Linked DNA regions of Sus scrofa. The protein of the gene in region 1 binds, or shares a complex with, the protein of each later gene. Links are inferred from orthologs where the notes say so. Each region holds a gene or a part of one and is shown in the gene's direction. Other genes may lie near its edges.

Region 1 (3,755 bases):
GCCACAGCAACACCAGATCCGCACTGAATCTGTGACTTACACCATAGCTCACGGCAATGTCAGATCCTTATTAACCCACTGAGCAAGGCCAGGGATTGAACCTGCATCTTCATGGATTCTAGTTGGGGTCGTTACTGCTGAGCCACAAAGGGAACTCCAATATAACCGTATTTCATACCAGTAAAATGTACACTTAAAAGTGGTTAGAGTTTTGTCCTGGGTATTAACCACAATAAAAAGAGGGGGAAAAGGGGTTACGTGCCGCATAATCTCATTTTGGGCCTTCTTGAAAAGACTGTAGGTCAGTGGTTGCCTGGAGTTAGCAGAGCCTGTGGCTCAGAGGGGACAGCATGACGGTGTGTTTCGGGATGACGGGCTGTTCTGTATCTTGATTGTGGCAGTAGTTACACAAATCTCTGCAAGTATTAAAATTCATAGACCTGCACATCAGAAAGGCAGTTTTACTGTATGTCAATTTAAAAATAAAAACAACCTCCCACACCCGGCTGAAGTTGCTCTAGGGTGCAAAGCACAAAACCAAAGCGCTAGAATAAATACAGCATAAAAGCAATTAAAATGAAAAAAAAAAAAGCCATAAAAGTCACTCCCTGTCAGTAAGTAAATAAACAAACGATGAAATTTGCCACAAGAGGTAACCACAGGTTTTCACATATCTGATTGCAAAAGCCTGTTGAAGTGGTTTTCACATCCTTTTTTGAAGACTGTCACTGCTAACTTCTAAGGAGTTGTGCACAGTATTCCTGCTTGTTTAATGTTTCAATAAAGCTTTCAGTCCAGGTTTTACCCTCCTTACGGTTGAACCTTGATTTTCCCCGTTGTTGTAGTTCGCTGTAGTTCAGCGTGTGGCACGAGAGAGTCTTTGTGAACCAGGCACAGGTCTCGGGTGAGGCCAGGTGTAGGGGAAGCTTTCAGGGCAAGGCAGTGGATCGAGCCCGGGCCTTGTGTCAGGGCTGTTTCTGGGGCTTAGAAACTGCAGGTGCTCAGAATGCACCCCGAGGAGATTGGGCAGGGGCCGGGACAGCCGTGTGTGTGTGTGTGTGTGTGTGTGTGTGTGTGTGTGTAGCTCCGTTGTGATTGTGTGTGTGAAGCTGCCGTGTGTGTGTGTGTGTGTGTGTGTGTGTGTGTGTGTGTGTAGCTCCGTTGTGATTGTGTGTGTGTGTGTGAAGCTCTGTTGTGATTATACTGAACAGCCTGCTTTGAGATCTTGGGGTAGAATGGGCATCAGAAAGGGGCAGGAAGGAGTCGGGGGCCAGGTGTAGGAGGGGCACACGAGAGGGCTGGCACCCAAGCCTGGAGAGGGGCTTCCCAAAAGAAGACTTCCTGGAGGAGGTGACTCCTGAGCCAGAGTCCCAAAGGACATGGAAAGTTGCTAGACAAGGACAAGGAGGGAAAGAGGGGGTGTGGACAGGGCACTGCAAGCGTGTGGTACTAGTGGAGGAGGAGGGCAGGTGGTAGAGGATTCTAGGGTGGCAAGGGGGCCAGGAAGAGTGACCGAGGCAAGCTTTAGTAAGTTGCTTTCTCAAGGTGGGGTCCTGGGCTGCGTGACTCACCCCCAGCCTGCAAAGCAGATGTCCTGAGCCCCGCAGGATCAGCCTTTCTGGAAATCTGTGGTTGTACCAGTGCCAAGGGATCAGAGTCAGAGCCACTGCACTGTGAGATGGGGAGCCAACGAAGAGTTTATACCAGGAGCGTCTCTCTCACTCGTGCTCCACGGTGGAGTGCTCACCTGGAGACACAACTGAGCCTTGCATTTGGGGACTCTGGTCGTTTTCAGGTTTCCTGGGGAAGAGTTTGCAGAGTAGCCATGGAGCCATGCAAACCTTTCTGCAAGTGTTTGTTCATACCCCCCCCTTGTCATCTTCCAGGAGGCAGTGGAACCCTGCGGGTGGTGCTCGGAGCCTGCCGGGTTTGGGTTGGGGAAGAAGACGCTGAAGTGGGGTCTGCTCTGGGCCAGACGGTAATGCATTGGGGTTTCCTGGTGTCCCTCCAGGAGCAGCAGCCGAGCTGGACGGATGACCTGCCGCTCTGCCACCTCTCTGGGGTTGGCTCAGCCTCCAACCGCAGCTATTCTGCTGATGGCAAGGGCACCGAGAGCCACCCACCGGAGGACAACTGGCTCAAGTTCAGGTGAGAGTGCCAGCAGTGCTCTCCTGGGCATCAGAAAGAGGTTTGCAAGCCAGAAAAAGCAGTTTTGTAGAGTCTTGCATGGGACTTGCTAGCGAGACGTGGCCCATGGGAGGTGTGTCTCCTGTCGCTGCCACGTCTAGACCTCAGACCGGCTGAGGGCCTGCTCTGGGGGGAGGGGGCAGTCCAGGAGGTCACGGCCAGAGTGAAATGATGGCCCAAGTGGGGGACCCACTGGGCCCCTGAAACCACTGCTGCCGCATCTTCTGTTTCCCCAGTTCCTTCCCCTCCCCACCCCCCTCCCCCTGGAACTGGCGTCGCTCTTCTGTGAGCCCCTGGTCTCAGGCTGCCACCCACCCTGTCCTTCTGTCAGGAGTGAGAACAACTGCTTCCTGTACGGGGTCTTCAACGGCTACGATGGCAACCGGGTGACCAACTTCGTGGCCCAGCGGCTGTCCGCGGAGCTCCTGCTGGGCCAGCTCAGCGCCGAGCACACTGAGGCCGACGTGCGGCGGGTGCTGCTGCAGGTACGGGTGCGAGGAGGCTGCCCGTGACCGGTTCCCTGACGGTGCAGTCGGCCCTGCAACCGTGGAGCGCCGGGTTAGCCCGGGCTTGGTCTCAAGGCCCTGCCGGCTCCTCGGCTCTGCAGAGGAAGCAGCTCTGGGAGGGCGCCCACGTCCCAGGGCGCAGGGCTGGGCAGCCAGCAGCGGTCCTGCCCCACGATGGGCTGGCGGGGCCCTGGAGGAGGGGCTCCCGGGGAGGGGGAGGGAGGGCGGTCACCTTGGACGGGGGGTGCCCGGGCTGGGCCTCCTCACTCATGGTTGGCTGGCGCCCGATGCCAGTTCCGCATGTTGCTCTTGTTTTGGACGTTTCCCTCCTGGCATCTCCACTTGGAAGCAGGTCCGGAAGCACTTAGCTGTAGACGAGAAGGGTGGATTCCTGTTCCTCGAAAACAGCGTGTCCGGCCATTTTCTTGCCTTGTCCCCGGTCTCAGGGCCCCGTGCCGGTGATTCCCAGCCAGTGCCCCTGGGGGTCCCTCAGGATGTGGCAGTGACACTAACTCTGAGCCACGCTCTGGGTGCCCAGGGCGGCTTCTCTCAGTCACCTGTGTCTCACAGATGAGGAGGCTGGGACTGCCCAGCCGGCAGGTGCAGAGCTGGCCATCACCCCGGGCGGCCTGACTCCAAGCCTGTGCGCTTACCTCTCTGCCGTCCCTGCCTCTCTGGTCACTCTGCAGTGCCACTGGGAAGGCAGCAGTGCCATGGGGCCACGTCGTTGTCAAACTTTGCAGGAGCAGCAGTGCCCAGCGCTGCCGTGTATGAATCCCTCACCACCTGATGGCCCGCAGTTGATACAGCTGTCGCTATTCATAGCGGGTGTTTCAGCATCAGGTGACAGCAGTGTTTGAACTGGCCTCTGCCCCCCGTCCTGTGCCCCCAGGCCTTCGACGTGGTGGAGAGGAGCTTCCTGGAGTCCATTGATGATGCCTTGGCCGAGAAAGCGAGCCTCCAGTCCCAGCTGCCTGAGGTAGCGTCCCCAGCCTGTGCCCCAGGAGGAGCAGGTCACGGCCTGGCTTTGCTCGGAGCAAGGACTCCCCTGCCGTGTCACTC
Region 2 (3,755 bases), on another chromosome or scaffold:
CATCACACTTGGAATAGTTACATAATAGTGTAAGGCAGTAACCAGATGTATGGGAATTGTGAGATAAAACTGTAATTGTGTACATAGAAATAGTGATGATCAGTGTGAGGAGAGGCAGTCTTCGTAGAGATTGTTCGGAAGGGTAATTTAAATTTAGCCTTGAAAAGTGGGTGTGATTTAGAAAAAGACATTTCATTCACAGAGAAAAAAGTGAGCAAAAGCTTGCTGTTGGATTAATTGAGATTTGAAGAGAACTCTGGCTAGGGTAAGACTTTGCATAGTACAGTCTTCTCCAAATTAAGATAACGCTGTAGCTTTTTTCCTTTAAGGTATCATGAATATATTCTCATTATAGTTCAGAGACATGACTTTTAATGGTTATACCACTCCTACTGTATAGCATAGGGAATGATAATTCAATATTTTATAGTAAAACATAATGGAAAAGAATATAAAAAGAATATATATGTATAGCTGACTCACTTTGCTTTATAGAAGAAACGAACACACTGTAAATCAACTGTATTTCAATTTTTTTGTTTGTTTTTTGTCTTTTTATGGCTGCACCTGCAGCATATGGAGGTTCCCAGGCTAGGGGTCCAATCGGAGCTGTAGCCTGCAGGCCTACACCAGAGCCACAGCAGTGCGGGATCTGAGCTGCGTCTGCAACCTATATCACAGCTCATGGCAATGCCAGATCCTTAACCTACTGAGAAAGGCCAAGGACCCTCATCCTCATGGATGCCAGTTGGGTTCGTTAACTGCCGAGCCATGATGGGAACTCCTATAGTTCAATTTAAAAAAATGGTTATACCACTTTGCATCATAAGGATTCTTTATTGATTGAAAACTATTGGACTATGTTGACTTTAAATATAATCATCATTTTCTTTTTCTTGTTCTAGATCAACAATAAGGCTGCCACTGGAGAGGAGGTTCCCCGTACTATTATTGTCACCACACGTTCTCAGTATGGGTTACCAGAAGATGCTATTGTGTACTGTAACTTTAATCAGTTATATAAAATTGACCCTTCTACTTTGCAGATGTGGGCAAATGTGAGTATATGTGGATTCATTGTTGTCTAGAGACTCTAAGAGATTCTGTATATAGGCCATCTTGCTGAGACTGCCCTGCCCACCCCGCCCCCCATCTCCATTCAGGAGCTGTTGTGCTCATGTCTAATCTTCAAGGGTTGTAGATTTTCAGTGATTTTTGATTTTTCCTAGTGTCTAAATGTCACATTATGAACTTTTAGAATTTATGTGTCGAAAAGCAGGGATCAGCAGGCTTTTTCTTAAAAGGCCAGATGGCATAAATACTTTTGGTTTTGCCGTCTATACTCTGTCACATCTGTTCACTTCTGCCATTGTAGCAGGAAAACACCATATTCATTATGTGAATGAATGAGTGTAGGTATCTTCCAAGAAATTTTTATCTATGAAGACAGGCAATGTGCCAGATTTGGCTCACAGGCTGTAGTTTGCCAACCCATGGTCTAATCTGATAGCAGAGCTGTTAGGTACATCCGACCCATGTTTAACATCATTCTTCCAATATTGTAGAGTTATAACCAGGAAGGAACTGGTTTATGCCATTACCTTTCAGTTAGTTCATCAGACCAGTTTGTATAAGCAGGACATCTGAAGGTTCTAAACTTTGCTATCTGTATCTGGCTCTTATTCCATAGAGCTTTTTAAAATGGAGATAATTCTTGGTTTTTTTTCCTGATTACTATCTAGTTTTTTATCTGTTTTGTATTTTTAAAGGAGAGAGGAGAGTTGAGAAGAAGAAGCAGATGAGTACAGATTTATTGTCTCTTAATCTTCACCTCCTCATTAAAAAAAACCAAAAAACCATAAAAAAGCATGTTCATAAGTTCGTGATAAATTTATTTGGCAGCAGAACTACCTGAACTGAAGTTAGGCTATTTATGGTTCTTTATTTATTCCATTTAGTATGAATATTCCTACATCTTGATGCAAAAATAATATGTTTGTTTACAGGGAGCTCTTGCTGAGAGTGTTACGTAATTTATATTCACTGTACTAGTTTGTTTTTAAAATCTAAAATATTCTAAATTTCTCTCTCTCTCTCTTTTTTTTTTTTTTTTTTTTTTTTTGGCTTTTTTAAGGGCCACACCTGTGGCATATGGAGGTTCCCAGGCTAGGGGTCTAATTGGCGCTACAGCTGCCAGCCTACACCACAGCCACAGCAACACCAGATCTGAGCCGCTTCTGTGGCAACACTGGATCCTTAACCCATTGAGCGAGGCCAGGTATTGAACCTGCAACCTCATGGTTCTCAGTTGGATACGTTTCTGCTGGGCCACGACGGGAACTCCCAAAATATTCTAAATTCTGAAGTCCATGTTCTGAAGTCCATTGTTCCCGTGGCTTTGAGAGAAGGGATGGTGAACTTTTATGATACATTGAGTAGATGTAGATCTAAATTAGGGGTTGGCAAACTATGGTCTCTGGGCCAAATCTAGTCCACTGCCTGTTTTTGTAAATAAAATTTGATTGACACACAGCCTCGCCTACTTATTTAAATATTGCCTATGGCTGCTTTCCAGTGACAAGGGCAGAATTGAATAGTTATGAAAGGGTCCATGTTGGCACCAGAGCCAAAAATAATTTGCTCTCTGGTCCTTTACAGAAAAAGTCTGTTGACCCCTGACCTAGATTAAGCAAATAAAGTTTGGCAGATGTGAGCTAACTTTTATTTGTTGTGCCATGGTGGGGGATTTACAATTTGAAATGGAAAATTCCTATCTCATGGACCAAAACCACTGCTAGTATCAATTCCCATAGGCCATAGCTGCTTCAGATTTTGCCAATTAGCAAGTTGTTTTGTGTCTGCTTGCATCCGTCTCTTCTTTCTTTGAACTATCTTTGGGGACAGCTAAGCAGAACAGGAACCTATAATTCAGTTGATCTAATTTATCTGTGTGAAGGAAAGACTTAAGTTCACAGTAGGCTGCTATCTGGATGAAAAGAATAGAGTATGGTAGAATTATTAGAAATTAAAGAGAACCTTTCTTGAGAAGGGCAGAAATAATATTCATACCCGTTCTTGTTTTCCCTGTTTTAGATTCTGAAGCGTGTTCCCAATAGTGTACTATGGCTATTGCGTTTTCCAGCAGTAGGAGAACCTAATATTCAACAGTACGCACAAAATATGGGCCTTCCCCAGAACCGCATCATTTTTTCACCCGTTGCTCCTAAAGAGGAACATGTCCGGAGAGGCCAGCTAGCTGATGTCTGCCTGGACACTCCACTCTGTAATGGGCACACCACAGGGATGGATGTCCTCTGGGCAGGGACACCTATGGTGACTATGCCAGGTGAGTTGCTGATAAATCATTGGAATCTTGCTTGTTCTTTTTTTTGTTGTTGTTGTTGTTGTTGCTATCTCTTGGGCCGCTCCCGAGGCATATGGAGGTTCCCAGGCTAGGGGTCCAATTGGAGCTGTAGCCACCGGCCTACGCCAGAGCCACAGCAACGCAGGATCCGAGCCGCGTCTGCAACCTGCACCACAGCTCACGGCAACGCCGGATCGTTAACCCACTGAGCAAGGGCAGGGACCGAACCCGCAACCTCATGGTTCCTAGTCGGATTCGTTAACCACTGCGCCACGACGGGAACTCCTGCTTGTTCTTTTTAAAATCTCCTTTGGGGTTGGCACTTCCAGGTGAAATCATGTATGCTAGAAGCAACATGTAGGGTAAGATGATAGAAAACAAGACTTGTTTA
Region 3 (3,755 bases), on another chromosome or scaffold:
GAGAAAATTTGAATAACTTTTCACCTCAACTATTTTTGCCTTCACCAGTGGATCAAAATTTGCACCAGGTTTATAAAAATGGGGTCACCTACTTTATATATTTAAAAAAAAATAAAAACCTAAGCTTTCTCTGGTGACCAAAACATTATGTATCATAAATATGACATTCAGATGATTCCTTTTCTTTTTTCTTTTTTTTTTTTTTTTTGTCTTTTGAGGGCCGCACTTGCAGCATATGGGGGTTCCCAGGCTAGGGGTCCAATCGGAGCTACAGCTGCCAACCTACGCCAGAGCCACAGCAATGCCAGATCAGAGCCTCATCTGAAACCTACACCACAGCTCAGGGCAACACCGGATCCTTAACCCCCTGAGCGAGGCCAGGGATTGAACCCACAACCTTATGGTTCCTAGTTGGATTCGCTTCTGCTGCACCACGACAGGAGCTCCAGATGATTCCATTTCTAAACACCAAATTAGGAATGTCTGCTTTTGTTGTTGTAGGAAGTGGGCTCTTTAATGATGGGGACAAGAGAACCCATGTTGCAGAGAACTTATCACACCCCTTTAGCAAATACTGCTGAATCTCACTGATTCTAAGACACATAATTGTTCACAGTTTAAATTTGTAAAATCTGGACACATGTGATGGTGGGTGATAATGTAATTGGCAGTGGTGGTACATCATATAATCATGCTGTTTACAGTTAGTAGCATCTTAAAATGATGACATTCTAAATGTCTCTTTGTCATCTTGCCTCTTTAAAATAAAGTACACACAAAAAAAACCAAAATAAATAAAATAAAGTACACAGATGCGTACAGTGATATGAATTTTTGGCCTGCAAAAGAGTACAACTTGAAATTTCAAAATGGTAACTTGAAAATAAATCTTAACCTTTAGCAACCTTAAAAGGAAAGACTGAAAGCCTAAAAAATTCCTTTAAAATGTACAATTAGTTAATCTAAATAAAACTCAGTAAGATTAATGATTTAAGGAATTCCCTTGTGGCTCAGTAGGTTAAGGATCCAGCGTCGCTGCTGTGGCTCTGGTTACAGCTGTTGTGCAAGTTTGATCCCTGGCCCAGGAACTTCTGCATGCCCCCCCAAAAAAAGATTAACTATTTAAAGCTTCTTTTAAAATATCAAGGTGCTAATTTAATAACTTGCTTAAAAGTTGAAGGGTCTCAAGTTTATATTTTTTGCTCTACTAACATTAGCATATTAAGATAACAATGGGAACATTATTTTAACCTTAAAATAAAGGTTGGATAGAGAATTGAATAACATTTTATTTTGTGGCTCCTTAGATCAAAAAGCAAGTTAATGGAATTAAGATGATGGAAAGTATATTTTTACTTATACCTTACTAATTTATGAGTTACTAGAGTTTAACTTTATTTTAATTGTTTAGGTGTAAATATCTGTTAGAAGAGAAGGGACAAGAATATATAAACAGTATTCATTTAACACATTCAATTGAGGAGTCTCTGGTAAGTCATATATTATAGATTATGTATTTTCAAATATTACACAACTTGTTTTGCAATGATTTCTTGGAGTAAAATTCACAGTACAGTATTTTAAATTAATAATATGTGGCGAGCTTAAAGGGGAGATCTTGAAGAGTGCTAGTTTTTCTTAATCCAAAGCATATTTTTGAAAAGGGAATTGAACTGATTTAAGTTTTGCTCAGGGCAAAAATGGGCTTGAAGAAGTAAAATACTTAAATCACTCAGCCTTCTGAAATTATACTGTATAATGTGATTTATATTCATAAATAGTTCTTATCTTTTCATAGACAGTCTTTAAAATCTCAAAAATGTATCTAAGTTGATAGTGTGGCCTGGGGTGGCCAAAGCATCAGTACTATGTGCAAAGAGCCTTGGACTAGAATGGGAGACAAGAGTTGCCATTATGGCCCTGCCATGAACTATATTGTCTTGATCAAGTTGTTTAATCTCTCTGAGCCTCACCTTCTTGTCTTGTCTGAAATGAATGGATTGGGTTAGATGATCTTTTAACTTCTAGCTTCATCAGTCTGTGCCTCTTATGACTACTCATATGTTAAATTGGAATAAAGCCAATTAATAAATTCATTATTAATGTAACTTTTAAAATTGAGGCAATTGCCTTCTACCCAAAGGAATTCTAGGAGTTTCTGTCATGGTGCAGTAGAAACGAATCCATCTAGGAACCATGAGGTTGTGGGTTCGGTCCCTGGCCTCGCTCAGCGGGTTAAGGATTGGGCGTTGCCGTGAGCTGTGGTGTAGGTCGCAGACGCGGCTTGGATCCCGTGTTGCTGTGGCTCTGGCGTAGGCCGGCAGCTACAGCTCCAATTAGACCCCTAGCCTGGGAACCTCCATATGCCGTGGGTGCAGCCCTAAAAAGATTAAAAAAAAAAAGAAGAAGAAGAAGAATTCTAACTTACAATTCATATTTCTATTTTAGGTGAGAAGTGCTGAAAAAACACCATCATTAACTAAAAGAATTGGTAAATATACTTACTAAAATAATTTGCCAATTTACTATAGCTGTTATATATAAGGTGGAAAGATAAACTGATTCTCTCGAGGTATATTTATTTGAGATAAGATTGCTATAAATTAAAGAATTAATGAAGTACCTATAAATTTAAGTTGGATATTTATATATTAGGAACATTCATTCAGAGGTTAAACAGTTTTTTCAAGTTTGAGAGGAACAGCCGTAGGCTGTCCATTGCCATTTCTGTTAAAATCACAACAAGGAGGATTAAATGTATTTTTGTCCCTGGAATTTCTTCAGTTAGCCAGGATTGTGAATCCAGTGTTCTACTAATGACCGGCCCTAACCTACGTGATTCCTTATCCCATGCCATCTTTTTCTCTTCACCAGCTTCTTCACAGAGGAGTACGGTTTGGTTTGTTTACCATTACCTTATAGAGAGGTAGAGGTTTTTTATCACAAAGATAAAACATCATAGACATCTTTAAAAATAAAAAGTATGCAGGGAAAAAAGTATGCAGAAAAAGATATTATGTTAAGCAACAAAGATATTGTTATCCCACCTCTCAGATGAAGAAACAGAAGTTAAGTGACCTGCCCATGATTATATTACAAATCTTTAGGGGAACTAGGACTGTAAATAAGGTCTTCTGAATCCCACATCACACTACAGATCTCATTTTCAACCTGGGCATCGCATTTGAAAAATAATAAATTTAGAGTATTCGTGATGATTCCCTACTCCCTATACTCATAGCATGATCTATTTAGTATTTTAAGGATTACAAGGCAAGAGAATACTACTATATATATTCATAAATATGCTAGAGAAGGAGAGCCACTTTGATATTATTTGATAAGGGTTTTGTAATGTATATAAATTATACAGTTTAAGAAGTCATTTATGGGAGTTCCCATTGTGGCGCAGCAGAAACAAATCTGACTAGGAACCATGAGGTTGTGGGTTCAATCCCTGGCCTTGCTCAGTGGGTTAAGGATCCAGCGTTGCCATGAGCTGTGGTGTAGGTCACAGTCATGGCTCGGATCCCGAGTTGCTCAGCTGTAGCTCCAATTAGACCCCTAGCCTGGGAACCTCCACATGCCACAGGTGCGGCCCTAAGAGAAGCAAAAAAAAAAAAAAGAGAGAGAGAGAGAGAAATCATTTATTCCATCCCGTATTTTTGAAATTATCCAGAAGCAAAGATTCTATAACATTTCTCTTACAATGAGATCCTGCTGTGTAGTATTGAGAACTATGTATAGATACTTAC
Region 4 (2,578 bases), on another chromosome or scaffold:
AAAATCCGGAGTTCCCACTGTGATGCAATGGGATTGATGGTGTCTCTGCCAGACTGGGGACATGGGTGTGATCCCTGGGCTCGCTCAGTGGGTTAGGGATCCAGCATTGCTGCAGCTGTGGCATAGATCACAACTCTGGCTCAGATTCAATCCCTGGCCCAGGAACTCCTCATGCTGCTGGGCAGCCAAAAAAGAAAAGAAAGAAAAAATACAACATCCATCCATGCACGTGCACACATATATTTAAAAGAGGAAAGGGGGAGTTCTTGTCATGGCTCCGTGGTTAACGAATCCAACTAGGAACCATGAGGTTACGGGTTCAATCCCTGACCTTGCTCAGTGTGTTAAGGATCGGGCATTGCGATGAGCTGTGGTATAAGTCACAGATGCGGCTCAGATCCCGAGTTGCCATGGCTCTGGCGTAGGCCAGTGGCTACAGCTCCGATTCGACCCCTAGCCTGGGAATCTCTATGTGCTGTGGGTGCAGCCCTAGAAAAGACAAAAAAGACAAAAACAAACAAACATAAAAGAGGAAAGGGGAGTTCTCGTTGTGGCTCAGTGATAATGGACCCAACTAGTATCCACGAGGTTCAAGGTTCCATCCCTGGCCTTGCTCAGTGGGTTAAGGATCCAGTGTTGCCATGAGCTGTGGTGTAGGTTGTAGACCCAGCTCAGATCCCTCGTTGCTGTGGCTGTGGCCTAGGCTGGCAGCTACAGTTCCCATTCAACTCCTAGCCTGGGAACTTCCATGTGTTGCAGGTGTGTCCCTAAAAAGACCAAAAAAAAAAAAAAAAAATAAAAGAGGAAAGGAGTAACATCCCAGAATTGAAGGAGAATTCTTTGTTTTGGTGTAAAAGGTCAAAACTGTGTTTTGCTTAATAAAGCATACATTTTTGGCAGTGTGTTAAAAACTCTTTTTTCCTTCCAATCTGCATCACTGATAGCTGTTGACTTGCTGGAGAAGATGCTTGTTTTGGACTCAGATAAGAGAATTACAGCAGCCCAAGCCCTTGCGCATGCCTACTTTGCTCAGTACCATGATCCTGATGATGAACCAGTGGCTGATCCTTACGATCAGTCTTTTGAAAGCAGGGACCTCCTTATAGATGAATGGAAAAGTAAGTCTGAGCATGATGAACACGTAGCTTTAAAAATCTTTGCCAGGTGAACCACAAACCAAAAGCTGTCAGTGGGGGAGGGCAGGGGGGTGGGGGGTGGAGGTGCGGACTCCTGGTTAAATCCAACTTGTTAAACCTTGTCGTTAGGTCTCTAATGCAGAATGAGTATGTTCCTCTGATGGAAACTGTCTGTTGTAGATGATGACACTCTGGACCTTTGAGATGCTTCTGTCTGGTCTGATTTTGTGCACAGCCCCTCACGTCTGCATAGAACTTTGAGGTTCTCAGAATTTTTGCATTTATACCATCTTTCCCAGCTAAGTAGGGGATAGGGTGCATTTACAGTTTTATAATTGATAGAACTTGGGTGAAGAAAGTTAACATCTTAACTGTTACCTTAGACCTAATTAGGGACACAGCCAGAAATAGAACCCAGGTCTCCTGTGCTCAGTTTCATAGTCTCTCCATAAAACACACATTCAGAAAACTCCAGTGAAATTTCAAAAGCCAGGACTATCTGTTGCTACAGCAAATGGGATTACTACGTTATTCTCAAGCATCTTCAGAGAGTTTTAAAGAGGAGGCACTGGATGATTAAAGAAGCAATAAAGGATGCTTCTCTTGTATGTATCCTTGAACTTCTGTGGAATCACATGTTCCATCAGGATATCACACACAAACGGTGAGGCAGTTATTTGAAGTGGCCCATGGAACCACTAGTCTGGACAGGGAGGAAGGATCTTGAGCTTAGAAGTTAGGGTGCTTGCCAACAAAATGAATAGTCCGAACTTTCACGTCCTCCTTTTCCTTCCTGATTTCTAGGCCTGACCTACGATGAAGTCATCAGCTTTGTGCCGCCACCCCTCGACCAAGAAGAGATGGAGTCTTGAGAATCCGGTTTCTGTTCTGCTGATCCCACTTCACTGTGAGGGGAAGGCCTTTTCATGGGAACTCTCCGAATATCATTCAAGTGCCTCTTGTTGCAAAGATTTCCTCCGTGGTGGAAGGGGGGGTGTGTGCGTGCCCATGTGTGTGTGTGTGTCTGTCTGTCTGACTTTGTGGGAGGGTAAGAGATTATGAGCAAACTATGATCACAGTGACTTTACGTGGAGCGACCCCTGCTCCGTGGCAGTCTCTGCTTGTTCTTTGTGAAAGTCAGCTGGGCAGCAGGAGCTGCCATCTTGTTAGGGCTTCTTAAAAGCAAAGTAAAAAATGTTAAACATCCCAGCCCCCAGTCATGCTTTTGCCATTTTGGCCTCTCCTGCGGCCACCCTTGTTGGTAGGGGTTTGGCTTGACCACACCCCGCAGAGGCACAGAAGAAGGCTCGCACCGTCTGTTCGCTTCACATCTGAAGCCGTCCCTTCAAAACGTCAGCCAAAAGGACTAGCTGGCTTCTCTGCGCTCATCTATGACTAACTTGCTTAGCATGATTCTCAGAACTCAACAGGTGTACCTAAAA

The links.
Region 2: the proteins of TAB1 (region 1) and OGT are in contact, whole or in part, in a crystal structure (PDB 4AY6), measured with the Homo sapiens proteins. The link is inferred for Sus scrofa from reciprocal best matches to the Homo sapiens genes TAB1 and OGT. Residues at the interface, in NP_006107.1 of Homo sapiens: Pro389, Val390, Val392, Pro393, Tyr394, Ser396, Ala397, Gln398, Ser399; in NP_858058.1 of Homo sapiens: Asp441, His506, His508, His509, Asn567, His568, Pro569, Gly641, Tyr642, Thr643, Lys644, Ala646, Gln849, Phe878, Pro904, Val905, Ala906, Pro907.
Region 3: the proteins of TAB1 (region 1) and XIAP are in contact, whole or in part, in a crystal structure (PDB 2POP), measured with the Homo sapiens proteins. The link is inferred for Sus scrofa from reciprocal best matches to the Homo sapiens genes TAB1 and XIAP. Residues at the interface, in NP_006107.1 of Homo sapiens: Glu99, Ala100, Arg103, Thr201, Gln202, Leu203, Glu212, Asp213, Phe216, Arg217, Gln220, Arg241, Glu269, Glu271, Ile272, His273, Ala275, Gln276, Pro277; in NP_001158.2 of Homo sapiens: Phe33, Ala34, Ser38, Gly39, Pro41, Ser43, Ala44, Ser45, Thr46, Arg49, Tyr75, Ser78, Ala79, Val80, Gly81, Arg84, Phe92, Ile93, Gly95, Tyr97, Leu98.
Region 4: the proteins of TAB1 (region 1) and MAPK14 are in contact, whole or in part, in a crystal structure (PDB 4LOP), measured with the Mus musculus proteins. The link is inferred for Sus scrofa from reciprocal best matches to the Homo sapiens genes TAB1 and MAPK14. Residues at the interface, in NP_079885.2 of Mus musculus: Val385, Tyr386, Pro387, Val388, Ser389, Val390, Pro391, Tyr392, Leu405, Ser406, Leu407, Val408, Met409, Pro410; in NP_036081.1 of Mus musculus: Gly110, Ala111, Asn115, Ile116, Cys119, Gln120, Lys121, Leu122, Thr123, Asp124, Asp125, His126, Phe129, Val158, Asn159, Glu160, Asp161, Cys162, Leu217, Thr218, Gly219, Arg220, Thr221, Leu222, Asn272, Val273, Phe274, Ile275, Gly276, Ala277.

What each region holds. Positions count from the first base shown.
Region 1 is NC_010447.5:8,839,145-8,842,899, reverse strand, and holds part of TAB1 (TGF-beta-activated kinase 1 and MAP3K7-binding protein 1), read left to right. Parts: intron 1-2,011; coding exon 2,012-2,148; intron 2,149-2,518; coding exon 2,519-2,672; intron 2,673-3,585; coding exon 3,586-3,672; intron 3,673-3,755. UniProt on the Homo sapiens protein: Key adapter protein that plays an essential role in JNK and NF-kappa-B activation and proinflammatory cytokines production in response to stimulation with TLRs and cytokines.
Region 2 is NC_010461.5:57,548,352-57,552,106, forward strand, and holds part of OGT (UDP-N-acetylglucosamine--peptide N-acetylglucosaminyltransferase 110 kDa subunit), read left to right. Parts: intron 1-905; coding exon 906-1,058; intron 1,059-3,093; coding exon 3,094-3,346; intron 3,347-3,755. UniProt on the Homo sapiens protein: Catalyzes the transfer of a single N-acetylglucosamine from UDP-GlcNAc to a serine or threonine residue in cytoplasmic and nuclear proteins resulting in their modification with a beta-linked N-acetylglucosamine (O-GlcNAc).
Region 3 is NC_010461.5:101,420,451-101,424,205, forward strand, and holds part of XIAP (E3 ubiquitin-protein ligase XIAP), read left to right. Parts: intron 1-1,411; coding exon 1,412-1,490; intron 1,491-2,448; coding exon 2,449-2,491; intron 2,492-3,755.
Region 4 is NC_010449.5:31,857,246-31,859,823, forward strand, and holds part of MAPK14 (mitogen-activated protein kinase 14), read left to right. Parts: intron 1-944; coding exon 945-1,118; intron 1,119-1,316; exon of another isoform or gene 1,317-1,398; intron 1,399-1,940; coding exon 1,941-2,008; 3' UTR 2,009-2,578. UniProt on the Homo sapiens protein: Serine/threonine kinase which acts as an essential component of the MAP kinase signal transduction pathway.